Linked DNA regions of Macaca fascicularis. The protein of the gene in region 1 binds, or shares a complex with, the protein of each later gene. Links are inferred from orthologs where the notes say so. Each region holds a gene or a part of one and is shown in the gene's direction. Other genes may lie near its edges. The genes, in order: MED18, MED21, MED7, MED25, MED31, MED23 and MED8.

What was found.
Region 2: MED18 (region 1) and MED21 share a complex: the UniProt entries of both Homo sapiens proteins name them as parts of the mediator complex. The link is inferred for Macaca fascicularis from reciprocal best matches to the Homo sapiens genes MED18 and MED21.
Region 3: MED18 (region 1) and MED7 share a complex: the UniProt entries of both Homo sapiens proteins name them as parts of the mediator complex. The link is inferred for Macaca fascicularis from reciprocal best matches to the Homo sapiens genes MED18 and MED7.
Region 4: MED18 (region 1) and MED25 share a complex: the UniProt entries of both Homo sapiens proteins name them as parts of the mediator complex. The link is inferred for Macaca fascicularis from reciprocal best matches to the Homo sapiens genes MED18 and MED25.
Region 5: MED18 (region 1) and MED31 share a complex: the UniProt entries of both Homo sapiens proteins name them as parts of the mediator complex. The link is inferred for Macaca fascicularis from reciprocal best matches to the Homo sapiens genes MED18 and MED31.
Region 6: MED18 (region 1) and MED23 share a complex: the UniProt entries of both Homo sapiens proteins name them as parts of the mediator complex. The link is inferred for Macaca fascicularis from reciprocal best matches to the Homo sapiens genes MED18 and MED23.
Region 7: MED18 (region 1) and MED8 share a complex: the UniProt entries of both Homo sapiens proteins name them as parts of the mediator complex. The link is inferred for Macaca fascicularis from reciprocal best matches to the Homo sapiens genes MED18 and MED8.

What each region holds. Positions count from the first base shown.
Region 1 is NC_088375.1:206,724,976-206,727,692, reverse strand, and holds the end of MED18 (mediator of RNA polymerase II transcription subunit 18), read left to right. Parts: intron 1-279; coding exon 280-833; 3' UTR 834-1,830; downstream 1,831-2,717. UniProt on the Homo sapiens protein: Component of the Mediator complex, a coactivator involved in the regulated transcription of nearly all RNA polymerase II-dependent genes.
Region 2 is NC_088385.1:29,775,674-29,780,091, forward strand, and holds the start of MED21 (mediator of RNA polymerase II transcription subunit 21), read left to right. Parts: upstream 1-1,369; 5' UTR 1,370-1,399; coding exon 1,400-1,441; intron 1,442-4,418. UniProt on the Homo sapiens protein: Component of the Mediator complex, a coactivator involved in the regulated transcription of nearly all RNA polymerase II-dependent genes.
Region 3 is NC_088380.1:163,927,885-163,932,070, reverse strand, and holds the end of MED7 (mediator of RNA polymerase II transcription subunit 7), read left to right. Parts: intron 1-783; 5' UTR 784-800; coding exon 801-1,499; 3' UTR 1,500-3,565; downstream 3,566-4,186. UniProt on the Homo sapiens protein: Component of the Mediator complex, a coactivator involved in the regulated transcription of nearly all RNA polymerase II-dependent genes.
Region 4 is NC_088393.1:57,813,662-57,817,645, forward strand, and holds part of MED25 (mediator of RNA polymerase II transcription subunit 25), read left to right. Parts: coding exon 1-132; intron 133-271; coding exon 272-402; intron 403-705; coding exon 706-793; intron 794-889; coding exon 890-1,083; intron 1,084-1,528; coding exon 1,529-1,657; intron 1,658-2,131; coding exon 2,132-2,217; intron 2,218-2,295; coding exon 2,296-2,353; intron 2,354-2,503; coding exon 2,504-2,611; intron 2,612-3,984. UniProt on the Homo sapiens protein: Component of the Mediator complex, a coactivator involved in the regulated transcription of nearly all RNA polymerase II-dependent genes.
Region 5 is NC_088390.1:6,692,372-6,696,900, reverse strand, and holds the start of MED31 (mediator of RNA polymerase II transcription subunit 31), read left to right. Parts: upstream 1-1,665; 5' UTR 1,666-1,718; coding exon 1,719-1,746; intron 1,747-2,532; coding exon 2,533-2,610; intron 2,611-2,889; coding exon 2,890-2,986; intron 2,987-4,529. Other genes in the region: C16H17orf100 (uncharacterized protein C17orf100 homolog), read right to left, coding at 978-1,334. UniProt on the Homo sapiens protein: Component of the Mediator complex, a coactivator involved in the regulated transcription of nearly all RNA polymerase II-dependent genes.
Region 6 is NC_088378.1:35,560,667-35,564,650, reverse strand, and holds part of MED23 (mediator of RNA polymerase II transcription subunit 23), read left to right. Parts: intron 1-33; coding exon 34-106; intron 107-942; coding exon 943-1,157; intron 1,158-1,724; exon of another isoform or gene 1,725-1,869; intron 1,870-2,721; coding exon 2,722-2,842; intron 2,843-3,566; coding exon 3,567-3,698; intron 3,699-3,984. UniProt on the Homo sapiens protein: Required for transcriptional activation subsequent to the assembly of the pre-initiation complex. Component of the Mediator complex, a coactivator involved in the regulated transcription of nearly all RNA polymerase II-dependent genes.
Region 7 is NC_088375.1:191,387,772-191,392,499, forward strand, and holds the start of MED8 (mediator of RNA polymerase II transcription subunit 8), read left to right. Parts: upstream 1-1,665; 5' UTR 1,666-1,849; coding exon 1,850-2,205; intron 2,206-2,860; coding exon 2,861-3,005; intron 3,006-3,509; coding exon 3,510-3,650; intron 3,651-3,837; coding exon 3,838-3,919; intron 3,920-4,281; coding exon 4,282-4,530; intron 4,531-4,728. Other genes in the region: KICSTOR complex protein SZT2, read right to left, coding at 521-547. UniProt on the Homo sapiens protein: Component of the Mediator complex, a coactivator involved in the regulated transcription of nearly all RNA polymerase II-dependent genes.

The sequences.
Region 1 (2,717 bases):
CTAAGCCCAAGGCCTGCTGGAGATTAGCATTAGAGGAGGCCTAAAGACATTGTAGTGTTAAATAAGAAAATTCCAAAAAATTGAAAAGGGAAATAACTTTCTCACAACGTTATACAATACCTTGGTAGTGCAACTTCTCTAAAATCTCATGTTTGGCCCTATGTTTTATGAAATGCTTCACTAAACTGTTTTGGTTTTTCATTAAGTTTTTTCAATTGTATGCTAACTCCATGACCTAAAATGAAAGATAGGACTCAGTGGTGCTTGTTCCGTTTTCAGGAAGTGTTTTAGATCACAGTTTGGAAAGCCTCATCCACCGCCTTCGTGGTTTGTGTGACAACATGGAACCTGAGACTTTCCTTGACCATGAGATGGTATTCCTCCTTAAGGGCCAGCAAGCCAGCCCATTTGTTCTTAGGGCCCGACGCTCTATGGACAGGGCAGGAGCACCCTGGCATCTGCGCTACCTGGGACAGCCAGAAATGGGAGACAAGAATCGCCACGCCCTGGTGCGAAACTGCGTGGACATTGCCACATCTGAGAACCTCACCGACTTCTTGATGGAAATGGGCTTCCGCATGGACCATGAGTTTGTTGCTAAGGGACATTTGTTCCGTAAGGGCATCATGAAGATTATGGTGTACAAGATTTTCCGCATCCTGGTGCCAGGGAACACAGACAGCACTGAGGCCTTGTCACTCTCCTATCTCGTGGAATTAAGTGTGGTAGCACCTGCTGGGCAGGATGTGGTCTCTGATGACATGAAGAACTTTGCAGAGCAGCTAAAACCTCTGGTTCACCTAGAGAAAATAGACCCCAAGAGGCTCATGTGACTAAGAGGATCTGTCCACATTTGGGGCCTGTCCTTACTTGCTTGAAAAAATGTTTGCTTTTTTTTTGGTTTTTGTTTTATTTTGTTTTTGAGACAGAGTCTCGCTCTGTTTCCCAGGCTGGAGTGCAGTGACACGATCTTGACTCACTGCAACCTCTGCCTCCCGGGTTCAAGCAGTTCTGCCTCAGCCTCCTGAGTAGCTGGGATTACAGGCACCCACCACCATGCTCAGCTAATTTTTGTATTTTTAGTAGAGATGGAGATTCACCATGTGGGTCAGGCTATTCTCAAACTCCTGACCTTGTGATCCACCCACCTTGGCCTCCCAAAGTGCTGGGATTACAGACATGAGCCACCATGCCCGGCCAAAAAAATATGTCTTAAATGCTTCATTTCACCATTGCCAGGCAGGCATTCTTCCTTCAGGGAGAGGATGGTGAGAATTAATTGGTTCTTTGCATTGTTCTTATGTGGTGATTTCACTTTCGTGACAGCCTTTCTACATTAAAGGCTCAGGATGTCACGGAGAATCTATCTAATCCCACTGTATTATTAAAAGGGGAAACCAGGCCAAGCGCAGTGGCTCACACCTCTAATCCCAGCGCTTTGGGAGGCCGGGGTGGGTGGATCACCCGAGGTCGGGAGTTTGAGACCAACCTGGCCAACATGGTGAAACCCCATCTCTACGAAAAATACAAAATTTAGCCGGGCATGGTGGCGGGCGCCTGTAATCCCAGCTACTTAGGAGGCTGAGGCTGGAGAATTGCTTGAATCCAGGAGGTGAAGGTTGCAGTGACCAGAGATGACACTATTGCACTCCAGCCTGGGTGAGAAGAGCAAAACTCTGTCTCAAAAATAAAAATAAAAATAAAGAGGGGAAACCGGAATAAATTAGCTTTTGGAAAGGAAAATTTCTTGTTTGGCCATTTGTGTATAAGGTTTGTAACATTAGAGGCTGTGAGCTTGTGTTATATGGTAATAAAGCCAATGAAGAGAAATGTCTGTGTAATTCTGATTCTTTATTCCTTTACCCTGTAAATTTGGGGTGGATTCATTACCAGTTGAAGCAAAAAAATGACAGTTCCTAGTTTTAATTATGGTAGAGATGAGGATGAGAGTTTTCACCTGTCATAAAAGTAGCACATTTATTGTTGAAAACTTATAAAATATGGTACAGATAAAAAATAACACCTATTATCCAAAGAGAGTACTAGTTCTATTTTGGTATTTATCCTTCTAGTCTTTACTTTTTATAAATTTATGTATATGAAATGTGTTTATTTTATAGAGAAGATTCCATATATACTGCTTTATAACCCTTTTTTCCCATTCATCTATCATTAACATCTTTCCAAGATATTTGTCTACAATCTCCTTTTGTTAAATTTTTTTTTGTTTTTTTGAGACAAGAGTTTCGCTCTTGTTGCCCAGGCTCAAGTGTAGTACTGCCATGATCTCAGCTCACTGCAACCTCCACCTCCCACTTTCAAGTGATTCTACTGCCTCAGCTTCCCAAGTAGCTGGGATTACAGGCATGCACCACCACGCCTGGCTAATTTTTTTTTTTTCTTTTTTTTTTTGAGACAGACTCTTGCTCTGTCACCCAGGCTGGAGTGCAGTGGCACAATCTCGACTCACTGCAAGCTCCACCTCCCGGGTTCATGCCATTCTCCTGCCTCAGCCTCCTGAGTAGCTAGGACCACAGGTGCCTGCCACCACACCCAGCTAATTTTTTGTATTTTTAGTAGAGATGGGGTTTCACTGTGTTAACCAGGATGGTCTCGATCTCCTGACCTCATGATCCTCCTGCGTCGGCCTCCCAAAGTGCTGGGATTATAGGCATGAGCCACCGCGCCTGGCCTAATTTTCTATTTTTAAGAGAGGG
Region 2 (4,418 bases), on another chromosome or scaffold:
GTCACCAATCCGTATTAATTATTTTTCTCAAAAATATATTTTAGTCTTTTTTTCCTCTCTTATCAGGGTCAACACCCTATTCTAGGCCCAGCTCACCTTAATCTTGGACAACTGCAAAACCTTCCTCTTGGTGAGTCCTTGGCTTATTCATCTTTGCACACTGAGCACTGGATATACTTCCTGGCATGTGGCAGGCATTCAGTAAGGTACACGCTCAAGTGAAGGTGGGAGGAAAAGGTTGTAGATTCCCCCAAGTTACAGTTAGAACAAATTATGGAGTGATTTCTCATTAGTTCCATTATGGGGAGCATGCCTCATCCACGTTCTTAATGAGGCCCCAGTAAGTCTGTAGACTGTTTGGGGATGAGGGTGGGGCATGGGTGTGAAGCAGAAGTGGTGCTTCCCAGCAAGGGTTGGGATAAATCCAGCAAGCTGAGTTCCCCGGGGACTGTGTCCACCACCTACCCCGCAGCCGCAGGAAGGTAATCACGGATAATCAGCCTGAGAAAGAGGATATGAGAGTTTGTTTGATGTCTCCAAACCTGTTATTTGCCGACTCCAAACTCATTTCTTACCAGACTATCCTCAGGCTAAATTTCCTTAAATACCAAGTTTCTATTATCACTCTTCACACTTAAGCTCTCAATAAGTCCCAACTCTAAATCTAAATTGTGCAGCTGATTTTTCTTGGCTGGGCGCGGTGGCTCATGCCTGTAATCACAGCACTTTGCGAGGCCAAGGAGGGCGGATCACGAGGTCAGGAGACGGAGACCATCCTGGCTAACACGGTGAAACCCTGTCTCTACTACAAAAAAAAAAAAAAAAAAAAAAAAAAATTTAGCCGGGCGTGGTGGCGGCGCCTAAAGTCCCAGCTACTCGGGAGGCTGAGGCAGGACAATGGCGTGAACCCGGGAGACGGAGCTGGCAGTGAGCCAAGATCGCGCCACTGCACTCCAGCCTAGGCGACAGAGCCAGACTCCGTCTCAAAATAAATAAATAAATAAATAAATAAAAATAAATAAATATATCTACTCTTCAATGTAGTCAATAAGTAAACACATGAGAGGATAGGAGAAATCACTAAAAAAAAAAAAAAATCCCCGCTGAATCCAACGATCTCTGAAGCCTTTAACACCTAACAACCTCAAAGAGAGTATTTCAGCCCCTCAAAGCGATGGACCCCAGGCCGCTCCCCAGTTACTCAAAAGATCCAGCCTCTCCTCTGGTGTAGCCCGCTCTAAGGCCGCCTCGGCAGTACCACCCACTCCTGACGGGCGGGGAGTTCTCTCCGACCCCACCCCTTCCAAGAAGGCAGCGCTGGGATTGGCCATGACGCGTACCAGAGCTGCCCAGTCGCGGAAGAGCAGCTGTTTTGGCGTCGGTTTGCTGCGGGAAGAACATGGCGGATCGGCTCACGCAGCTTCAAGACGCTGTGAATTCGGTGAGGAATTTCATTCGATTAGCCTCTGTCTTTCTCTTTCCTGAGGTAAAGCAAGGGAGAAAAGGGGCCCAAGAGGCAAAACTTGGAAGTGGAAAGCGGACTGAGAAACAGGGCTTCGGCATAAAGCGCTCTCTCGGGAGGCGCCACCGCGAACTCGGAGGTGTGAGGCCGGCTGCCGGGCGGTGCTTGAAGGTGCGGGAGGGAGCAGCCTCTTTCGCTTGAGGAGACCGGGAAGATTGCTCTTGTCCGGGTGGGGCCGCCAAGACTTGTCGGCTGCGCGGTCCTGTCGTATTCCCTGAGGACAGTTTTATTTTCTTGGCAGCGGTGCTTACATCTCTCTTTTGGGGGTTGGGAGGAGAAGCAGGAGCTCTTTTCTTTCCTCATCAATTTGAATCCACCAAGGGAGATCTCGTGCTGTGGATGACTGGGTTTTTGTAATGAAATGCCAGCCGAGAGTATTCCTTCACCAGCGCTTTCAGGTTGGTGCGGAGCGACGCTGAGGCGAGAGATTTTTCATCTTCGCTCCTTCCTGTGGGCCCAGAGCCTCCTTCCATCTCTTGTCTCTTGGCCACCCCTCAGAATGCATCAGTTTGGGGACATCTTTATGATAGGAAATCTTCTGATTCTCGTATGTCTTTCCGTTTATTTGAGTCTTTCTTTTTTCTTTTCTTTTCTTTTTTTTTTTTTTTTTTTTACTTTGGAGACTGTGTCTGTCGCCCAGGCTGGAGTACAGTGGTGCCATCTCGGCTCACTGCACCCTCCGCCTCCGCCAAACAAGTAGCTGGGATTACAGGCGCCCTCCACCACGCCCGGCTGATTTTTCTATTTTTAGTAGAGACGGGGTTTCACCATGTTGCCCAGGCTGGTCTCGAACTCCCGGCCTCAAGCGATTCTCCCGCCTCGGCCTGCCAGAGTGCTGGGATTACAGGTGTGAGCCACCGTGCCCGGCTTACAAGTCTTTTTGAACGTCTCCCCCAAATTCTACGCTCTATTAAAGGCCAAGTCTTGTAGGTAGCTCCCCAGCTTTGTTCCTTCTGGTAATTTTTCCTCCAAGCTATGCCTGAGTGGAAAGCAGAAGCAAAGCCAGAGGATGCGCATACAGTCATGGGCCCTTAATGAAGGGGTTATGTTCTGAGAAATGCATGGTTTCGGCGATAACTTTTTTTTTTAATAAGTAGAAGTACAATGTATTATAACGATGAAACAGTAAATACATAAACCAGTAACAAAGTCATTTAGTATCATTATCAAGTATCATGGACTGTACTTAATTGTATGTGCTAGACTTTCATACACTGGCAGTGCCGTAGGTTGCTTTACAGCAGCGTCACCACAAGCACAGACCGCTATGATGTCACTAGGCAGTAAGAATTTTTCAGCGTTGTTATAACCATAGGGGACCGACATAATATATGCATCCCGTTGACCAAGACGTCAGTGGGTATTCTCTTGCTGCAATGGGTATACTTATTACCATTACCAGTTACATAGTTTTCTGTTAAATAGTTTTCCATTGATAGTTATGTTTCTCATTGTCTGATTGTGATTTAACGTCCTAGATAAGGGACTAGAGAGAAAACATGCTGAGAGGAAAACCTAAGTACCTGGTTTCTTTGCCAGTTTTTTTTCCTCACTGTAAGCTAATAACTTGGCATTTTTCTTAATACATCAGGCTTTGTACACTTGAAGAGTGTGAATCTACTTGTGATAAACTGATCTACCCTGGGTGAATAACACTAGTTTTTAAGGCTGAGAGGACCAGCTTCTAAATGTTGAATTCACCAAGATAAATTCTGCCCTGCAGGGACTTGCCTGAGCTGCCAGTCAGCCTTCCTCAGGGAACTACTCCTTTGAGATTTTACAAAATCAAATTGTAATGATGCTGCTGGATAGAAATCTTATTTTAGGGAAACTTTTGCATATTCATACATGTCTTGTAACTAGAAGGATAGTAAGGACAGAGTGAATATGGCCTTAACTCCAGGTTAGGCGTACTGATAATTGGATTTTGGAGAAAAGCCTTTAGGATAACTAGTATGAGTGCCTACTGTGTATAAGCACTATCATGTTTGCAAAGAGATACTCCTTAAGGAGGTTAAAAAAATGTCATATACTCAGGAGACATTTAAGTGATGGAAAAACAGTATGTGGTTAGGGAGTTATAATGAATTGAGTATTTTCAGCTTTAGGTTCTGAAGTAAATTGGAATATGGAGTGATGTGAACCAAAATAGAGGGAATCTTCTTAGCATTTATCCTAATCAGATTTGTATAACTTTTAACATTTGTTCTACCCTCTGAAAACCATGAGTGCAGAAGCTATGTCGCATTCACTATGTCTCTATAGTGTTTAAATGTAGTACTTGTCATAGTTATTTTCCATAAAGTTTTGTTGACTGAATGGATCTTAAAAGTTTTTTTTTTTTTTTTGAGACGTAGTCTCTCTGTGTCGCCCAGGCTGGAGTGCAGTGGCCGGATCTCAGCTCACTGCAAGCTCCGCCTCCCGAGCATTCGCCTGCCTCAGCCATTCTCCTGCCTCAGCCTCCCCAGTAGCTGGGACTACAGACGCCCGCCACCTCGCCTGGCTAGTTTTTTGTATTTTTTAGTAGAGACGGGATTTCACCGTGTTAGCCAGGATGGTCTTGATCTCCTGACCTCGTGATCCGCCCATCTGGGCCTCCCAAAGTGCTGGGATTACAGGCTTGAGCCACCGCGCCCGGCCTAAAAGTTTTTGAAGGATGGAACAGATAGACACTGTGTTGAATATTTTGTGTATTTCCTCTTCCTCACAACAATGCTGTAATAGGAGAATGTATCCAATTTAAAAATGAAAAATGCTACCTGGGTTAATAGAGCTGGGATCTACGTTTGTATAGCGTCTGAGCACTTATTGCTCCATTACTATTATTAAAACCTGGGCAAAGCCATTTAGTCATAAGTGACTTTATGACTAGTTAGGTAAATATGAAGGAGTAGTG
Region 3 (4,186 bases), on another chromosome or scaffold:
AATACCATGTGTTTAGTATTTAGCAGTGTTAATTTTGTCAGTGTTTATGAGAGATACAAGTAAGTGTTTGCTATTGGAAATCAATCTGTAACATAAAGCAAAAGTGATTGTGATACGAGATTGGGAGACAACATGTGTAGTTTGGTTATGGAGGAGTAGAGAAATGGGGGCATAAATGGTGAAGGGTGTGGAATCCAGAAGATTTTCTTGTTTTTTTTTTGAGACAGATTTTCGCTCTGTCGCCCAGGCTGGAGTGCAGTGGTACAGTCTCGGCTCACTGCAAGCTCCGCCTCCTGGGTTCACACCATTCTCCTGTCTCAGTCTCCTGAGTAACTGGGACTACAGGCACCCGCCACCATGCCCGGCTAATTTTTTTTGTCTTTTAGTAGAGACGGAGTTTCACCCTGTTAGCTAGGATGGTCTCGATCTCCTGACCTTGTGATCCACCTGCCTCGGCTTCCCAAAGTGCTGGGATTACAGGTGTGAGCCATCGCACCCGGTGGAAGATTTTCTTTAGAGATCAGAAGATGCTACAGATTTTTTCATGCTGATGAAATTATTAGGGAGAGAATGGAAAATATGTGAATGGTTGAGAATATAATGCCTACTTAGAAAATATGGCAAACTTTACCTATCATAAATGTTAGTTTTAGAAACCAAGGAGATCATCTTGTCTTGGACCCCAAACTACTGGAAGAAAAGGAAGAAAATATTCTGTCTGTAGTTATGAAATGTAACAGGTTTGTTTTGTGGCTCTAATAAATCTTTGGTCTGTGTCCATAGGTTCTTGATAGTCCACAATGGGTGAACCACAGCAAGTAAGTGCACTTCCACCACCTCCAATGCAATATATCAAGGAATATACAGATGAAAATATTCAAGAAGGCTTAGCTCCCAAGCCTCCCCCTCCAATAAAAGATAGTTACATGATGTTTGGCAATCAGTTCCAATGCGATGATCTTATCATCCGCCCTTTGGAAAGTCAGGGCATCGAACGGCTTCATCCTATGCAGTTTGATCACAAAAAAGAACTGAGAAAACTTAATATGTCTATCCTTATTAATTTCTTGGACCTTTTAGATATTTTAATAAGGAGCCCTGGGAGTATAAAACGAGAAGAGAAACTAGAAGATCTTAAGCTGCTTTTTGTACACGTGCATCATCTTATAAATGAATACCGACCCCACCAAGCAAGAGAGACCTTGAGAGTCATGATGGAGGTCCAGAAACGTCAACGGCTTGAAACAGCTGAGAGGTTTCAAAAGCACCTAGAACGAGTAATTGAAATGATTCAGAATTGCTTGGCTTCTTTGCCTGATGATTTGCCTCATTCAGAAGCAGGAATGAGAGTAAAAACTGAACCAATGGATGCTGATGATAGCAACAATTGTACTGGACAGAATGAACAAAGAGAAAATTCAGGTCATAGGAGAGATCAGATTATAGAGAAAGATGCTGCCTTGTGTGTCCTAATTGATGAAATGAATGAAAGACCATGAAAGATGTTTATGTTTCTTTTTTCCTTTTGATAAATAGCCTCATATATTAGTTTATTTTCTTTTGGACAGTCTTAAGAGAGGTTTCACTAAAAATGTAAACAGCTTTAATCTTGACTCCAACTTTTTCAATTATGAGATGTCATAGGCAGTAATTTCACTGTATAACAAGCATAGACAAATGAGTACCCCTGCACTAAGAATAATCACTTTAAAAAGCAAAGTGTTCACCGCTGTTGTATGGGACATTCCTATGTTTTGGAGTTGCGGTAAAACTTTGATGATAACCTCAGTAATAGCAAAAGTTTTCGTCTTTGAAAAGGGGATTTATCATTTGCTTTAAGAATGATAGAGGAATAATGGATATCAATCTATAAATGTAAAACTATGATATCTTTAAACTTATTCCATTAAAAATTTTGCTTAAGCTGCAAAAGGTAGTATAACATGTTAATAGAGAGGAGCCCAGAAGAATTATAAAACAGAAACTTTATTTTTTCCTCATGACTGCTCCTGTAAACCCACTATCTCAGTCTTTTCTCCCTATCCTGAATAGACTCTTGCAGGCAAGTCCCATGAATTGTTTTTTTCTCCAGTCACTCAGGTAATAAGTCCTTTGGCCATTTTAAGTTACAGACATTAATTTTAGTAATTAAGATGTCTATGTCATTAGCTACACATTTTCTTTAAAGCTAAGCCCAGACTTGCTTAAGTCCACATTGGGAAAGGGGTTTGACGGCAGAGACTGCTAGGTGTCTACCAGAGAGTCTTGTTCTTTGAAGATACGTTGCCAAGATGTGGCAACCCAACCAGGGACATTTCCGTACTGCCAGCATCTCTGTGAGAACATATGATTAAGTTCTAGGCAGTGAAATGTGGGCATAGGAATCCAGGCTTGCCCCATAAACATTTCTTGCATGATCCTCCATTCTTTTCTCCCAACTGCTGGTTGCATGGTCATATCCAGGATAAGTTTGGAAGCCACCGAAGATGGCAAAGATTGTCAGTCTGGGTCTTTGAATGACTGTGAGGACTAAGTCTTCTTTTCATTAACTCCACTCTGCCCCTCACTAATTGGACTTTATGTGAGCACTTTCTTCTCCCCACTGTCCATCACCTCTTCCACCAAGGTGTTAGTAGAGAGTTGACTTTGTTTCTGAGGATCTTTGCCTGCCATTTTCTTAATGTAGGCCAGTAGTTCTTAAAGTGTGTGGTCCTGGACCAGCAGCATTGGTACCATTTGGGGACTCACTAGAAATAAAAGTTTTAGTATAATCCATAGGTTCAGAAAAATAAAAAATAAATGAAGTTTCTCTAGCTCCATCCCAGACCTTTTCAACCAGAAAGTTGAAAAGACCAGCGGGGGCAACATAGTGAGAACTTCTCTCCATTGCTATTTAATTTTAAAAGGAAAGGATATAGGGTATGTTGATTGAAGGATAAGTTGAACATATAAACCATGAGGAGGACAGAAAGTGTCTGAAGTTTTGAGTTAGTAGCCCTGGAGACCATCCTTCCTGTTAGCTTCATTCTCTTTACTGATGAACTTCTTTAATGATGTAGGTGGAGAACATGGCAACTAACAGTTCCCATGTGTTAAGCATTTCTATGTTTACCACTGTCTGGGAGTTCTCTCTCAAATACGAAAAAAAATGAGGTTAATTAACGACCTAGACATGAGGAATTAGGGGTTGCATACTTGATTCCAACTGGGCAAATCAACTGGGACTTGGCTCCCATAATAATTTGACAGTCCCCACTATGTCTATGTATGGAAGAGTCAGTCTGTCTCAGAGGAAGGAAGTGGTGCTGAACTAACAACGAGATATCCACTACAGATCAGGCACGTGTAAACTTAATATAAATAGCAAAAATAAACTGACTGTACAAATCTGTGTTCTCTTTATGAGAGTAGTTTTTCCCCAGCTATTCATTTATTCATGGTATTCATTTGATGAATACTTACTGTGGTCACCTCTATGCCTGATGCTAGTTTAAGTGTTGGATGTGTCGGAAGGGCGAAGGAAAATGTAACTAAGATAATAAAACGAATTGATTTTTGAAGGTGATAGTTTGTGTCTTAACTATTCAGCCATTACAGCACCTTCAGAAGAATCTTGCTTCCAGTTATGTTTCTATTGTCTGTTCAAATCACCTTGTCCACATTATCTTCTCTTTTCAAGGCATGTGTACATGTTCACTTCTTTTTTATCTCTTAAAACTTTTTTTTTTTATTTTTTGAGATGAAGTCTCATTCTTTCGCCAGGCTGGAGTGCAGTGGCGCAATCTGGGGCCACTGCAACCTCCAACTCCCAGGTTCAAGCGATGCTCCTGCCTCAGCCTCCCGAGTAGCTGGGACTACAGGCACGTGCCACCATGCCCACTAAATTTTGTATTTTTAGTAGAGAAGGAGTTTCACCATGTTGACCAGGATGGCCTGGATCTCCTGACCTCGTGATCTGCCCGCCTGGGCCTCTCAAAGTGCTGGGATTACAGGAGTGAGCCACCATTCTTGGCCTAAAATTTTTTTTTTCTCTTTGAGTAGAGATGAGGTCTCACTATGTTACCCAGGTTGGTTTCAAACTCCTGAGCTCAAGTAATCCTCCAGCCTCCCAAAGTGCTGGGATTACAGGAGTGAACCACCATGCCTAACCTCACATTTGTTAAGGACTTTAGAAGACAACTTTGCC
Region 4 (3,984 bases), on another chromosome or scaffold:
GGAAGCTGCCTGCACTTCGGCTTCTGTTTGAGAAGGCAGCCCCCCCGGCCTTGCTAGAGCCGCTGCAGCCTCCGACAGATGTGAGCCAGGACCCAAGGCACATGGTGCTGGTTCGGGGGCTCGTGCTGCCCGGTGAGGCCTGGGCACCGCGCGCGGGGATCGGGGGCTCGACGTGTTTCCCAGCTCCCTCTGACTTGGATTTTGGATTTCTCTCCCCTTTCTCCATCTTGAATCCCTTCTTTCCGGGGTTGGCCATCCCTCCTGCTCTCAGTTGGGGGTGGCTCTGCCCCAGGCCCCCTCCAGCCAAAGCAGCCAGTCCCCCTGCCTCCTGCCGCACCCTCCGGTGCCACTCTCTCAGCAGCTCCCCAGCAGCCTCTGCCCCCCGTCCCCCCGCAGTACCAGGTATGGATGTTTCCAGGAAGGGACATGCTTCTGGGGACTTGCTGGAGCCCTGGCCCCTGGGGAGAGATCTAGTTGCATGTTGGAGCTTGTGGGATGATGGGAGTCCCATGGGACATTGGGAGGGTGGGACTCCTGGGGCCATGGAAGCTCATCTGCTAGGTGATGGGTGTCGTGAGCTTCTGAGCTCTCCCAGCTGGGGCAGCTGTGCCTTGTGGGGCCGTGGGTGGTGTGACCTCGTGGGACACCAGGATTGGAGGGCCATGGTCCTCACCAGTCCCTTTCCTTCTTCCCTTCTACCCACAGGTTCCTGGGAACCTGAGTGCAGCTCAGGTGGCCGCCCAGAATGCAGTGGAGGCTGCCAAGAACCAGAAGGCTGGGCTGGGCCCTCGCTGTGAGTCCTGGGGCGAGAATGAAGGGGCGGGCAGGGGCCAGGCAGGCCTCCCTCCACACACTTGTTCCTCACTTCTTCCCTTGGTCTCTCCCACAGTCTCGCCCATCACCCCTCTCCAGCAAGCTGCTCCCGGAGTGGGTCCCCCCTTCAGCCAGGCCCCAGCTCCCCAACTACCCCCAGGACCCCCTGGTGCCCCCAAGCCACCACCTGCTTCCCAGCCCAGTCTGGTCTCCACCGTGGCCCCTGGCTCCGGTCTGGCTCCCACAGCGCAGCCCGGGGCACCGTCCATGGTAGGTGCCTGCACACCTCCTGCCCCCACTCCTTCCTCCTGCTGCCCACAGCTAGGACAGTTAGAGGATGAGTCATTTGCCTTCCAGGGGGGTGTGGATCTGGTGGCCCTGGGGCCTTGGGGGTTCGTGGTACGTGTGCTGCAGATGCCTGAGATGAGGGTCTGGGGACGGAATGGGGAGGCTCATGGCTCCAGGTGGGTCAGGGCTGTTCTGAGAAACACAAGGAATCCCTGGGTTTGGGAGTCCGGGGCATCACACAGCTTATGAGTCCTGGAATCCTGCAGCATCCAAGCATTTCGGGTCCTGGGGCTGGCCAAGTGCTCTTCTGGGAATGGATGAGCAGAAGAAGGGGCCTTTCCTTCTTCCTGGTTTGCCCTCACAGGATGGCCCCCGGAGGCCCCCCTCTTTCCTCATTCTCATGGCCCTCCTTCCTCCTCTCTGGCAGGCAGGCACTGTGGCCCCAGGAGGGGTGAGTGGCCCTTCCCCAGCCCAGCTAGGAGCCCCAGCCCTCGGTGGGCAGCAGTCAGTCTCCAATAAGCTTCTGGCATGGAGCGGGGTCCTCGAGTGGCAGGAGGTGAGGGGCCTGAGGGTCCATTGGGCACTTGGGACTCCTGGGGCCATGGGGCTGGGCATGTGGGACTCATGGGTCACATGCATGGGGTTTGCAATGCTGGGTTTGGGGGCATTCCTTGGGCTGGACCCGTGGGATCCGGGACCAGGCCAGGAGCCCCATGGAGCAGTGGGACTTGCGGTACAGAAGAGAGTCCCCATGCAAAGAACCCAGAAAAGCCTAGGATTTGGGGCCCAGAGAAGGGCCCAGGTGATGTAGCACCTGGGGCACAGTGGATTGTGGGATTTAGGGGCCGGGAACGTAGCCCTAACATTTGAGGAATTGAAGGTTTGCTGGTCTGGAGGAGGGGCCAGGGGCTCATGGGACTTAAACTGGGGAACATCCTGAGCTTTGGGGCCAGCAGGCTAGGACATGAGGGCTCAAGGGGACTGAGGCTTATGGCCCATTTTACTTTGACATGCTCTTTTTCCCCCTCAGAAACCCAAACCTGCCTCAGTGGATGCCAACACCAAGCTGACACGGTCACTGCCCTGCCAGGTCTATGTGAATCATGGCGAGAACCTGTAGGTGACTGTCGGGTGGGGTGCGGTGGGGCTGGGGCTGGCCCCCTCCTCACACCTCTCCTGGCATCACCCCCCCAGGAAGACTGAGCAGTGGCCCCAGAAGCTGATCATGCAGCTCATCCCCCAGCAGCTGCTGGTGAGTGGTGGTGGAGGGCCAGCCCTGCTGCCAGGCAGCCCTCACCCTACTGTCTCTTCCCTGTTCCCTGCCCTACCCCCACTCCCTGCCTCGTGTGCCCACCTCACTTGCCCACACCAACATGCCAGCTGACTTCTGTGTCTCCCGCAGACCACCCTGGGCCCTTTGTTCCGGAACTCAAGGATGGTCCAGTTCCATTTCACCAACAAGGACCTGGAGTCTCTCAAAGGCCTCTACCGCATCATGGGCAATGGCTTCGTGAGTCCAGGGCATTGGGGGCCGAGGGGCATTAACTCTTGTACTGCTTTCTGCTGACCTTTGAAGGGAATCCCAGAGTGCCTGGGCCCATGGAAGCCGTTTTTGATGGTTGGGTGGACTTCATGCCCTTAGGTTCCTCGCCTTTCTTCTAGAGCCTTGACTTTTATTATAATCATCGTATGCACCAGATTGAGGGATATTCCACATTAAAAATGTGAGCTGGATGTGACTGGAGCAGTTAGGAGGAAGCTGTTGATTCTGGCATGGGTTTATGGGATGTGTTCGTTTCCTGTGGCTGCGGTAACACATTACCACAAGCAGAGGGGCTCAAAACAACAGAAATGTGTTCGATCCCAGTTCTAGAGGCCAGAAGCCCAAGGTCAGGGTGTTGGCAGGACCGCGCTCTCTCTAGAGGCTCGAGGGAAGGCCTCCTCATTGCCTCTTCTAGCCAGTAACCCCAGGCTGCAGGTGGCATCGCTCCAGGGTCTTCCTTGATCCTGTGGCTGTCTGCCCTCTGTGTGTGTCTCTATGTGGCATTTTCTGTATCTCTGTGTCCCTGTGCTTATAAGGACATCAATCATTTTGGATTAGGCCCCATTTTCCTGATCTCATCTTACTACAACTGCAAAGACCTTCTTTCCAGATAGAGTCTGGAAAAGGTGCTGGAGACTGGAACCTCAGTTTAGCTTTCTGGTTTTGTTTTTTGAGACAGAGTTTCACTCTTGTCACCCAGGCTGGAATGTAGTAGTGCAATCTTGGCTCACAGCAACTTCCGTCTCCCGGGTTCAAGCGATTCTCCTGCCTCAGCCTCCCGAGTAGCTGGGATTACAGGCATGTGCCACTATGCCTGGCTAATTTCTGTATTTTTTAGTAGAGACAGGGTTTCACCACGTTGGCCAGGCTGGTCTCGAACTTCTGACCTCAAGTGATCTGCCGCCTTGGCCTCCCAAAGTGCTAGGATTACCAGTGTGAGCCACCGCACCCAGCCTCAGCATAGCTTTCTGGGAGACACAGTTCACCTTGTAACTCGGGGAAGGAGCAGATCAGTTACTTCTGTGCACCAGGCATTCCTGCACGAAAGAGGACCTTAGGGATCACCTCATGGGATCCTCACAGAACCGTGTGAAGAAGGCATTCCTGAGAGTTAGGAGTGCTTCTGGCTGCAAATAACATAGTTTTCCAAACAAATAGATAATTGGGGGCACTCAGAAAAAATTTTCTCTTATGATTCTGTGAGTCACCTGGGCTCAGTGGCCATCTCGCTTGGGGACTCTCATGGAATTGCCATCAGATGGCAGCTGAGACTCTGGTCGTCTGAAAGCTTGACTGGGCTGGATGTTCAAAATAGGCGCTCCTCATAGGCCGGGCGTGGT
Region 5 (4,529 bases), on another chromosome or scaffold:
CCAGTAGAAATAGTACTTTGAGCACTCATACAACCATTGTTTTTCACTTTTAGTACAGTATGCAATAAATTACATGAGATATTCAACATTTTATTATAAAATGGGCTTTCTGTTAGATGATTTTGCTCAACGTTAGGTGTTCTGAGCATGTTTAAGGTAGGCTAGGCTAAGCTATGATGTTTAGTAGGTTAGGGATATTAAGTGCCTTTTCAAATTACCGTGTTTTCAACTTACAATAGTTTTAATGGGAGGTAACCCCATTGTAAGTGGAGGAACATCTAGTACCTGGCACAGAGCAGGTTCTCAATAAATATGACTCTTCTCCATCTTCTTCAAACCTCAGACCAGGTTTCAATGGCCTCCTCTCACTTTCTCTTCTAAGATTATTTTTGCTTGCTAGTGGGTTTACTGTCATTTTTAACTACATCTAACCTACCTTTAAAAAGTGTATGGATGGGAGTGCCAGGTACAAAGACTTAGTTAGCATAAAGAAAACCACCAGTTACCTTGAAACATAAACAAAGGCCATTAATAATTTATGAGTCTGTTCCTTGCCCCTCAAGTTTCTAGCAGGCATGGAATCATTCCACAGGTCATGATTTCAGTTTGGTCTCTGTTCCTAAGGGGTGAAGGTCTTCTGAGGGCTGTGGATCCCAAACTCACCTGGCTCAGAGGCTCAAACAGCCTCTTTGTCCATCAAGCCAATTTAGACAGCATCCTGGGCATGAAAATCTTTTGTGCTGGCTTCAAGTGAAAATAGTTCACTGGGTCAAAAGTAGGCTGGTCCAAGACGCAGGATGGTCAATAAACGTTGGCTGTGTTCAGAAACTGCGGCTTGGCTGTTTCTTCCATTGATTTATGGTTTGTTTCCATGAAACCGAAAATGATTGGTCCACCTGGCAGCTGGCTGGCAACTGGAGGCCTTTCTGTCCTGGCTGAGGGCCCTGGCCCCTTGGTGGCCTTTGGGAAGCAGCATCTCATCGGGCCGGTTTTTCGTTCTGGCGGGCGGCCGGCTTGGCCCGCGGGGCTGGGCTCTCCGCGCAGTGCAGAGCCGTCTCCACCCTCAGGGACGAGGCCCTGATGTGGCGGGAGGTCGTTTCCGTGCGCTGCGAGGAGGATTCCACGTGCCGGGAGGACGCCTCGAGGATGCCAGGGAGCCGCTTCCCCAAGGGGGAGAGGGAGGGCCCCTCGCTGCGGCGCTGGGAGGTCTCCACCCGCCGGGACGACGTCTCCACGCGGTGGGACGAGGTCTCCACGCGGACTGTGGACGTCTCTGTGTAGCGGGTGGTCCCCACCCGGGGAGAAGACTGCTTGGCCCCTCGGGCTGAGGCCATTCTGCCGGCGTGAGGGGGCCAAGGAGGCCTCGGGGCACCCCCCAGCCCAACGGTCACCGCAGGCAGAAGAGAGGAAAACTACGGTACTGCCATAGCCGGGAGCGCCACAACACGATGACGTGGAAACACCATGATCCTTCCAAGGCTAAAAACACTGGGCTCCTGCCCCTCAGGCGCTCCCACGGCCCGGGCCCCGCCCGCTCGCTATTTTGAAGCCAGCGCGGGTGGAGCCATCCCAGGGCTGGCGGGATGGGCGGAGCCGCCCGGCCCCATATCCCACAGTGCCCCGGGACCGGAAGAGAGAGCCGTGGTTTCCGGAACTTCCCCCGCCACTCTGGGCTTTTGCTCGGTCAGGCTGGTGGCGTTTTGGTGTCTTCGTTTGTTATGGCCGCTGCCGTCGCTATGGAGACAGGTGAGTAGCTCTCTGATCTTGGAGTCTTCGCAGATGGAACTCCCCTCGGTCCAGACGGCTTCCCCGTGGCCTCCTTCCAGGCCTTAATCTCGGCAGGGTTAATATTTGGACAAGGAGGTGAGAAGGCTCTTGTAGCTTCTAGAAAGACTAAGGTACTCTTTGCAGTTTTCCTAATTTGGTTTGTTCGCACATCTTTGCTATTCAGACACCACCCTACCAGCTCCCCGGCGTGGGTGAGACTAAGGGAGAGGACTTGTGTGTTAAACCGTCTCCTCCTTGATTGGTTTTCTGCTTCTCACATGAGCTTGCCTAAGTTTGAAATATCGTCGCCGGACTTTATGTGTCATTCTGCTACTGGTGCTTCTTATATGCATACGCTCCATGATCTTTTAGGCTCTACGCAGTCTCTTGCATCCTAACTTTTTCTTAACTGATTCAGCACGTAGCTTTTGCAAAACTTAATCACTGTTAACAATTGTTATAACGCATTATTAACATAGGGGAAGCCATAGTTGTTACAGCCTACCTTAGTGATCTTAGGAATTCTCCGTTTGTGTTGCTGCTTTCTTTGATGATTTCTCTTTAATTTTAGAGAAACTTCTAACTCCTTTTAATCAGGGCTCCGCTTTTCTTAGATTTCGAAGAAAGGTTTATCTCCCCCAACTCCCAGTTTAGGAAGACCATCTCGGCATTAGTCAGGTTTCTTTATTGCTGTTTCCTTACTGCAAATCAGTATTATATACAGTGACCCTTACTTTCCATGATTTTTGCTGTCTTGTCTCCTAGATGATGCTGGAAATCGACTTCGGTTTCAGTTGGAGTTGGAATTTGTGCAATGTTTAGCCAACCCAAATTACCTTAATTGTAAGTTGTTAAGCACCTCATTAAATTGAGTAGCTACTAATGATTTCTGACAGAAGAGTTGCAATTCAAAATAGTATCTACTTTTACACATTCTCAATTGAATGATATTACACTTATGCTGGTATATAGATATAATTGCGCACTGGGATTTGTGTTTTGAATTCAATGTGTGTTGGTGGTGGGGGTTTTATGTAAATAGATCCTTTACATTAGGGGTAACAAAGCATAGTTTAAAGATTGGTTTGACCTACAGACATTTTTTTTTTTAATGCTTTTCAGTTCTTGCCCAAAGAGGTTACTTCAAAGACAAAGCTTTTGTTAATTATCTTAAATACTTGCTTTACTGGAAAGACCCAGAATATGCCAAGTATCTAAAGTAAGTTTAATTTTTATAATCCTAAGCATGTGTATACTTTATGATATGATAGATTTCTTCGTTTCACATTGGCAAAAATGTATTTGGAATCTCTCCACTTCTTTTCGTTGTCACCATCTTAACACAAGACAGTCTCATCTCTAACTTGTATCACTGCAGTAATCTACTCCCTGGTTATCTCTGCTTCCACTTTTACCTTCCTGCCCCCCCTCCACCCCAAACCAAACCAAGCAAAACAGCTTTCTACACAGAAACCAACTTAGTCATTTAAAAATATAAATCAGAACACTTTACTTTCTTGCTTAGAACCTTTCCATGACTTTCCATACCATGCAGAATAAAATCCAGTCTCTTTTCTTGGGCTAAAGCCCTATATGATCTGGCCCTGCCTTGTCTGACCTTGTCTTTCACCACCCTCCCCATCTCACCAGGTTTCTGGTCCCGAAGAACTCACAGTCTGTAAATGAAGTGACATAAGCCATGGGCTGAAATTAAAAGAGGGTATCTGTAAGGAAGGTGTTTCTGGGGTTATTTGGAGGAGGTGATCTTAACCTGAGTCTTAGAGTTGCTATCTTTTATTTAAGGCCTCTTATGTGCCAGAAACAGTGCTAAATGCTTCATATGCATTAACTCATTTATATATATATATATATATATTTACCATTCAGGTCATTCAGCGACACTTTCGTGTTAAGGCTTACTGAATTGCAAGAAGCATATAACCACAAACCTATTCCCTTTTAATGATTAAAAAAAAAAAAAAAAAACAACACCTTGAACTCATCCCTGCTTTGTGTTAAGCAGGTAGAAAGCAATAGTGAACCTTAAAAAAAAAAAAGTTTGAGAGGAAAATGTTTCAAACTTGTTTCGAAGTCACTTTTCTGTGTCCAATAACAATTGACTCACGAAGCATATACATCTTATATTGCCTGCAGGACCCTTTGCACCTTTTCTGGCTTTTTATCCATTTAATAATCCAAAGAAAAGACTTTTAAGAAAAATAGATTTCAACAAATGTTGTATGTATGTAGATTTACAGACTCAGTGTTGGAAGCCTCAGCCACCAACACGTTTAATCTTACCCACAGCGTTGCCGAGAGATGGTCACCTACCCTCTGGAGGTTTTCACTGAGCCCATGTTACTCTGTCAGGGACAGCTGATTTGACTGTTAGCCAGATGGTAGAAAGTTATTCCTTATATTGTGATATAATGTCTCTCCTTGTAGCTCTAGTCTGATTGTAGTGTTATCCTTCATCTATCTGCAGTCACATGAAGTCTATTTGTCCCACTACTGGTGACATTAATTTTGATAACTTGGTTGTCCCTGGATTGAGCTAGAACCATTCTATACCCTCTTGAGGACAACAACCTTCCAGATACTTACATTCAAGAGAGATTGCAGATTAGCCCCTTTTGGGCATTTTATTCAGTCTGCAGAAGATTTTAGTTTTGTTTTTTTTTTTAATACTTGCCAACATTTGAAGATCAGAAACTTTTATATAACAAATGCAGATTTCCCACTACTCTTTCAAATCTGGAAGA
Region 6 (3,984 bases), on another chromosome or scaffold:
TCATACTTAAACATTGTTTTTTGCCGGTTGCAGTCAGCCTTTAGTGCCAAGAGAGAACATTACAGCATGGATGAATGCAATTGGTTTGATCATCACTGCCCTACCAGTGAGTTAATAATTGTGATTCGTGCTTAGTGATGAAATATAGCCAGCTGTTCCACGTCAGCAAAAAGAAAAAGATGCATATAGGATGCAAGTTAATGAAGTATTTTATGTTTTTAAAGTTTTTTCATATTATTACTGCTTTAAAAATCTACAGTGACTAGTGTTTGCCTTTCTGTATTAGATCTAAATATATCTATGTGACTTACAGGCCTCTGCATTTTCTGGTACCACCTTACCTATCCAACTTTAGTTTTTACATCATAGCCTGATCTACTCTTGGCCGCTTAACGTGTTGTATATCTACAGCTTTTGTTCCTGCACATAGTGCTTAAGACATGTTTTAGGTACTTCTGAATGTGAGTGAATAAGACATTTTTCGTATTCCAGAGCTTACTTCTTTCCATCACCTTCTCTAAAGCCTGTTCATTCTTTGCTAGCTTAGAGCCTCCTTTCTCAGTGAATGAAGCCTTCCCTGACTTTTCCAGCTCACATGACTCCTTTCTTTGACCTCCACACACATTTTTAACAAGTTTATTATTTTTAAATAAATAATAAAATTATAGATTTATTGTTTGATAAATTAATTGATTTACTGCATAGTATATATCAGGTACCTAAATGAGCTGGACAGATACATGTATGGAGCCCCCTAACTCACAGGTACTTCACCCAGGTTGTTACTGACTTAATTTGACCAGTTACGAAGTCACCCAACTGTATGTGCAGAAGCTGGAGAAATAGAAAACTTTAAAGAATGAGAAAACACTATTACTTTAGACTTTGGGGTGGAATGCTGGATAAGTGATATTTTTCACTAGCCTTCCTCCAATTTTAAAGGAGCCGTATTGGATTGTTCTTCATGATCGAATTGTGAGTGTCATCAGCAGCCCCAGCTTGACGTCTGAAACAGAGTGGGTTGGCTATCCATTCCGCCTCTTTGATTTCACTGCCTGTCATCAGTCCTACTCTGAGATGAGTTGTAGCTATACATTAGCTCTCGCACATGCTGTGTGGCACCATTCTAGCATCGGACAACTTTCTCTCATTCCAAAGTAAGTATAATAATTTCTTAAAGAAATTTGACATAGGCTGGGTGCGGTGGTTCATACCTGTAATCCCAGCACTTTGGAAGGCCGAGGTGGGCAGATCACAAGGTCAGGCGATTGAGACCATCCTGGCCAACATGGTGAAACCCATCTCTACTAAAAATACAAAAATTAGCTGGACATGGTGGCATGTGCCTGTAACCCCAGCTACTCAGGAGGCTGAGGCAGGAGAATCGCTTGAACCAGGGAGTTGGAAGTTGCAGTGAACCAAGATCGCGTCACTGCACTCCAGCCTGGTGACAGAGTGAGACTTCATCTGAAAAAAAAAGAAATTTGATGTATTTCATTTTTTTTCTAATCTCATTAACAGATGAGGTATATACTTCATTCATTAGAACAACTCGTGGCCGGGCGCGGTGGCTCACGCCTGTAATCCCAGCACTTTGGGAGGCTGAGGTGGGTGGATCACAAGGTCAGGAGATCGAGACCATCCTGGCCAACATGGTGAAACCCTGTCTCTACTAAAAATAAAAAAATTAGCTGGGCGTGGTGGTGTGCTCCTTGTAATCCTAGCTACTCAGGAGCCTGAGGCAGGAGAATCACTTGAACTCAGGAGGCGGAGGTTGCAGTGAGCCGAGATCACGCCACTGCACTCTAGCCTGGGTGACAGAGCAAGACTCCATCTCAAAAAAACAACAGAAAAAGAACAACTTGCAAAGTAAGTTGATCAGAAAGCTCCTTTTGCTTCAGAGTTGTTTTTTAAAAATTGACTTGTATGTGCTAGTAATAATCTAATAATCTAGTTTTCCACTATAGTTTGAAGAAGCTTAGTCAAATGCATGCTTTTTCCACAATATATCCCAAAAGTTACCTTTTAAACTGAATAACTGATATTATCCTATTTCCTGATTATTTTTCTTGACCATAATAATGGTATTAATTAGATTGAAATTTCTTGAGAGTGGCATTTCTGTTAGGTTATTCTCTTTTTATTTCAGATGATTCACCTATCAGTAGTTTTACAATTAAGAATGACTTAAATCTGATTTAAACCCCATCTTTAGTAGAAATACAAAAAATTAGCTGAGTGTGGTGGCGGATGCCTGTAATCCCAGCACTTAGGGAGGCCGTGGTGGGTGGATCACAAGGTCAGGAGATCAAGACCATCCTGGCCAACATGGTGAAACCCCGTCTCTACTAAAAATAAAAAAATTAGCCAGGCGTGATGGCATGCGCCTGTAATCCCAGCTACTCAGGAGACTGAGGCAGGAGAATTGCTTGAACCTGGGAGGCAGAGGTTGCAGTGAGCTGAGATCGCGCCACTGCACTCCATCCCGGACAACAGTGTGAGACTCCATCTCAAAAAAATAAATAAATAAAAATAATCAAATGAAAGTAATAGCCAGTGAGAGATGTGAGATTAATTAGAAACATTATTGTTACCAAAGTAAAAGGAACTTTTTAAAAAATGTTTTGTTATAATACTTTGTAAATACTGTATTAACAAAATTCAAACAATTTAAATGATTTCAAGTCACAGGAGATTTTTATTTTTATCTTCAAATTTTAGGTTTCTCACTGAAGTGCTTCTTCCTATAGTGAAGACTGAATTCCAGTTGCTTTATGTATACCATCTTGTTGGACCATTTTTACAAAGATTTCAGCAAGAGAGAACTCGTTGTATGATAGAGGTAAAATATAATCTGGATTTCCTGTGACATGATTAAATTCTGAAGTATCTATTTAGGTTTTTTACCAGTGTTATTGAAACTGCAGGTCACAACCATTAGTAGTGAAACTAGTTTAACAGGATCCAAGAGCAACTTTAGAGGACTTAGTGTGCCAGTAATGAATTTAGGGTGGGATGTATTGAATTGGAGATGCAGGGGAAATACCCATTATGAAGGTTGAGAAGAGGTTAAGGATGGAGAAGTACACTTGAGATCTTACATGCAGAGGAACTAATTAAAATCATGAGAATGGATGAAGTCAGTCACTTCTAACAAGATGTCGAAAACAAGGAAAGCACCCAGGAGTAGAACCTTAAAGCAAGAGCTACCAAATGGAACTAAGAAAGTATAAACCAAAGGATCCCTAGGAGTGGAGTTATCCTAGACATCAAGAGCTGGTGTCTAGAAAGGGGATTGTTTATCTCTTAATTTTAAGATAAATTACTAAACTATGAAGAGAAATTTTATTTAAGCCTTATCAGGGGCATTTTGTAGCACTATAGATTCTTTTAAAATGCAAGCCATATCATATCTCATGTGCATAGAGGTATGTATAGTATATGACAGCTCTACAACAAAGACAGTATCCCCCAGTGTGAGTGTTATAATGGAGCCCAGCTGCATCATGCTGAATTATTGAATCGCTTTTAATCACTTAAATAATTTTACATTATTTGTTAAATAGATTGGTGTGGCGTTTTATGACATGCTGCTGAATGTCGACCAGTGTAGCACCCATTTAAATTACATGGATCCCATCTGCGACTTCCTATATCACATGAAGTATATGTTTACTGGTGATAGCGTGAAAGAGCAAGTAAGTTGAATTTGTTTAATTATTTTTAATGATGTTTAATTTAGAAAACTTGAACATATAGTAATAGACTTTTTTGGTTTGAGTGATTATTTTTATTTTGTCTAATTTTTTTTTAAGGAAAATGGGTGGGTTTGAGACCTTTTTAGGCAACAGAGGCATATTATTCTAGATGTAGTATTAAAGTAAATACATGTTATAATTTCTTGTACTTTTCCCCCAAAAGACCTAGAGGGTTAATTAATAATAATCTCATTAGGGAGAAACAGTGGGATATGGCTGCTGAAAT
Region 7 (4,728 bases), about 15 Mb from region 1:
CTGAGCTTGCACAGATTAGCTACATGACAGCGCCAATATTGGAGCGAGGTCTCAGTCCGACTCAAATGTTTTTTTCATGAAATTAAAGCTGCTTTTCTAAAAGCATGGGCCCTAGAACTAAATGAATTCATGCTGTTTACAGCATTCCAATGCCTAAAGAAATACAAAACCCGGCAAACTAAATCTACTGCCGTGTTGCCCATTGAAACTGCAACAGAAAGTCAAAATACAAATTTTGTTAATACCACTATCATTAGGTCAAAGAGTTGACGACGCGGATGACACGTCAGTAAACAAAACAAAGCAAAAAGAGTTACTCCTTTAGCTCCCCGAGGAAACTGCAGACCGCGTCCCATAGTCCGCAGGGGTACCATAGTCGGGCCTTCCGGGCTGGGCTGGTCCCTGCCGAGGCTACGCAGCCCGGCCACCCCCAGACCCAGAGGAGGCCAACGCCACGCCTGCCCGCCGGACCCTCCCCCTCGGATCTCAGGGCCCAGTGCTGCGTCCGCCCGCCCCTCACCTCCGGCTCGGGGCGCTCCGAGGCCATCACACAAGCCCTCCCGCGCCGGCCCGGGCCCGTGTGTTCCACTCTTGACCCCTGACCTGGCTACCTCGGCACCCGGAAGGAACAGGAAGTGGGTGGGAGGGCCGAGTTCCAGTTTTCTGATTGGTGGACGAAGCCTTCTCAGAGGCGTTTGCTGACAGGAAACCGGAAGTGGAAATCGTTGCAGTCGCCTCGGCCGCCGCAATGCAGGTGAGAGCCGCGTTGGGAGTGCTAGCGGCTGGCCAGCTTCGGCTACAGGGAGCCAGAGTGGGCTGGCTAAGGAGAATGAAGAGTTGGGACTGAGAAAAGAGGGCAGAACCCACGGCTGATAAGGGAACGTGGGTTGGGGGGCGAGGTTAATTGGAGAGGGAGCGGCGCAGATGAGAGGTGGGGGTGGAGCTCGCCTGACAGAAGGCGGTCGGGCTAAATCCGGAGGGAGGAGGCAGCACTGACTTGCTTGGCGTGGGAAAGGATTAGGTTGTAATACGGGGAGGCCGAGATGCAGTCCAAGGAAGACGGCTCAGGAGGTGGTGGGTTGGCTCAGGCCCTGTCCTAAGCTGCTGGATGGAGGCTGTTGGATGCCGATATAGCAGGGGATCTAATTGGAAAGAAGCCCAAGCAGTGAGGGAATTGTGGGCCGCGGTGTCCGAAAGCTAAGCAGCTTGTAATGTGAGGCCATGGTGGAACCCAGGATCAAGTTCCTGTCAGGCACCTTAGCAGGTTTGCAAGACAGTTTTGCATCACTCTTCCCAGCCTGTGCCCTATAGTTGTTAAGGGTGAAGAAATGGAATAAAACAGGATACCACCGATGGGAAGGAAATGCTTTGCAGACCCCCGGCATTTTAATTTGTTTGTTCAGTGCTTAGAAGCATGTGCGGTTTTGGTTTTCATTTGTCACTTAGTTTCCTGCAGCTGGTAGTCTCAAGAAATGTTATTGGGTTGACCGAGCTTGTGAAAGAGGCACGGGAATATTGACACAGAGATAGATGGGTGCATATTAATTCAGCGAGGAGAAGGTTGAAACATGAAATGATGAGAGCAGATGGAAAGCTGGAGTGGTTGGTGGGGGGAGGGAAAGAGGAGAGCAGGGCTGGTATTCAGAGAAGTCTTCATGAGTAGGCAGATTTCCCAGAGACTGACAAGAGAGCCAGGCTCACAAATGCTAGGATGGAGGAAGCTGGAGTGCATGTGCTACAGAGGTGCACATGAGATAATGATCTGGCATTAGGTTTGTCGAAAATGTCTCAATGAGGGAGTGTAGGGTGTACCTAATACAGAGAAAAACCAGGCATAGATTAGGAGCGGATGGGAAAAAGGAATCAGTTGGTGGAAGTACTTGGGTCAGGCAAACGGTTGAAAGGTCTCAGGGTTGATGCTGTCTATAACCCAAATACCACAGATAGGAAACAACCTGGTTATCCTATGCCAATGAGATCCTGTTACCTGACTGGTGTTTGCACACCATCTCCTTGGCTTTTCAGCCCTCCTTTCTATGTGTCATACTCGTTTATCTGGGTAACCAACCTGTTCCTATTGGTGCAGAGAGAGGAGAAGCAGCTTGAGGCATCATTAGATGCACTGCTGAGTCAAGTGGCTGATCTGAAGAACTCACTGGGAAGTTTCATTTGCAAGTTGGAGAACGAGTATGGCCGGCTGACCTGGTAAGGGTTGCCAGGGCAAGCTAGGGAGGGCTTATGGGTGGGGGGGCCTAGCCTTCTGATGAATAGGACACTTCTAATGATGTAACCATTTATCAGTTTACAAACATCTTTTGATTTGGAAAGAGCTGGGTTTCGTAACATTTAGCAAGTGGCTTCCATGGCAAGGAAGTAGAGAAATGCTCGGTTTCCTAACCCAAGTTCATTATAGCTTTCAATTCTTACCCTTTGACTTCTCTGGTGAGGAGGTCCTCCTATTACAGCTCTATTTGTGCTGGATCTCTTGCCACAAATATGGCTGAGTCCTTTAGATCCAACCTACTCTGAAGTGTGGATCCTATTTCCAGGCTGGAAAGAAGGATTTTACCGGGTTTCTGAAGTTTTAGTTATAACAGTATAGTCCTATTTTGCCACTGTTCCTCACCTCATTCAAACAATGAACTGGATTTTTTCTACATCTGTTTCATAAACTGAAACTATGTCCCTCTTTCATAACCCTGTCATCCTTGTTAGTTTCTTCCCACTTAGGCTAGTCATAGGGCTATGAGACTTTTGGGGATAAATCCGAGTGTTCCTAGCCTGAAGGAACTAGGACTATTTTACTAAGAACCACCCAAGGAAGGGGTGGAACATTCTGACACCTGCTTACTGCCAACAGGCCATCTGTCCTGGACAGCTTTGCCTTGCTTTCTGGACAGTTGAACACTCTGAACAAGGTCTTGAAGCATGAAAAAACACCGCTGTTCCGTAACCAGGTCATCATCCCTCTGGTGTTGTCTCCAGACCGAGATGAAGATCTCATGGTAAGAGCAGAAAAAGAATACAACTTGGGAAATTAAGGAGTTTTTTAGGCTTCTTTACTATTTAGGGAAATTAAGTTCTTAGCTGAGAACTTAGAAATAATTTTGGAGGCCTTGCTTTTTGTTCTTCTGAAGGTGGGAGAGCCACTCCCAAATAGTGTTGTAATAACCTGAGGGGTATGTCACCAAGGCTGGTACCTTCCTTCTCCAACATCTGTCTCAAGCCACAAAGTCTGCCCTTTGGTGACTTTGTCTGTTTCAGTCTTTGAAACGTGGCAGACAGTGATAGTTTAATTTGCCTCTAGGTCTGGTAGAGATAGGGATGTGAGAAGACACAAAAAATGAAGGCTGGAGTAAAGGAGATTGTGTCCTAGGAAACTAGATATTATGTCTTAGGTTGTATTTTCCTTGAAAATGCACTGTTTGCCTGTGGATGGGACTGTATATCAGGCCAGATAGAATCTTCTTGGAGTGCATAGTAGGATCAATAAAATCTGTGTGTTGCAGCGGCAGACTGAAGGACGGGTGCCCGTTTTCAGCCATGAGGTAGTCCCTGACCATCTGAGAACCAAGCCTGACCCTGAGGTGGAAGAACAGGAGAAGCAACTGACGACAGATGCTGCCCGCATTGGTGCAGATGCAGCCCAGGTTGGACTGAGTCACTGCCTTGCTGCCCCATCCCCATCCCATCATGAGAAGCTAGGCATTACCATTCCTGTCTAGTAGGGATGCATAGTTGGTTGCACCTAAGCTGCTTCTGGCAGAACCCAAGGAATAAATTTGTCCATATCGTTTCCTAGTTACCCTAATCTCTGCACAAATTTGTGTGTTACAGAAGCAGATCCAGAGCTTGAATAAAATGTGTTCAAACCTTCTGGAGAAAATCAGCAAAGAGGAGCGAGAATCAGAGAGTGGAGGTATGGTGGACTGGTGGCAAAACAGAGAAGGAGAGGTATATAAGATCACTGGAATGGGAATGGTTGTTTCGAGAGTAGTGAAGTTAGGACACAAGAGTGAACTGCTTTAGGGTTTGCATCCATTCTGTTAGCCTTTTGTATTTAAGGCCAACCCTGAAGCAGTGGAGGAAATGGGCAAAGTAAGAAGAGAGAATTCTGAGATAGGCTTGGGGGTCCTCTGGCTCTTTTTATGGGCTGTGAGGGAGTCTAGATGCTGCTGAATTCAGAACTCTAAACCCTGGCACTCATACTGGTCTTCCAGCTGCCACGTTCAGTCCTGCATCAGAAACATACTTCAGGATCCCCACTTACTTTTTCTTCAGGTCTCCGGCCAAACAAGCAGACCTTTAACCCTACAGACACTAATGCCTTGGTGGCAGCTGTTGCCTTTGGGAAAGGACTGTCTAACTGGAGACCTTCAGGCAGCAGTGGTCCTGGCCAGCCAGGCCAGCCAGGAGCTGGGACGATCCTTGCAGGAACCTCAGGATTACAGCAGGTGCAGATGGCAGGAGCTCCAAGCCAGCAGCAGCCAATGCTCAGTGGGGTACAAATGGCTCAAGCAGGTCAACCAGGTAAGGTGGCAGGGGTTGAAAGGAAGCTGACTTTGAGCAGGGGAGCTGGAGGGAATAAGCTAGATTATCTGGGCCTCCAGCATCTCTAGACCTAGAGATTTTCTCCATTTCTCCTTTGCACTGTGACCCAGGAAATAATTTTCAGAAGTAAAAAAATCTCATTTGAGACTCTGCATAGGCACCAGAGAGTGAGGAAGA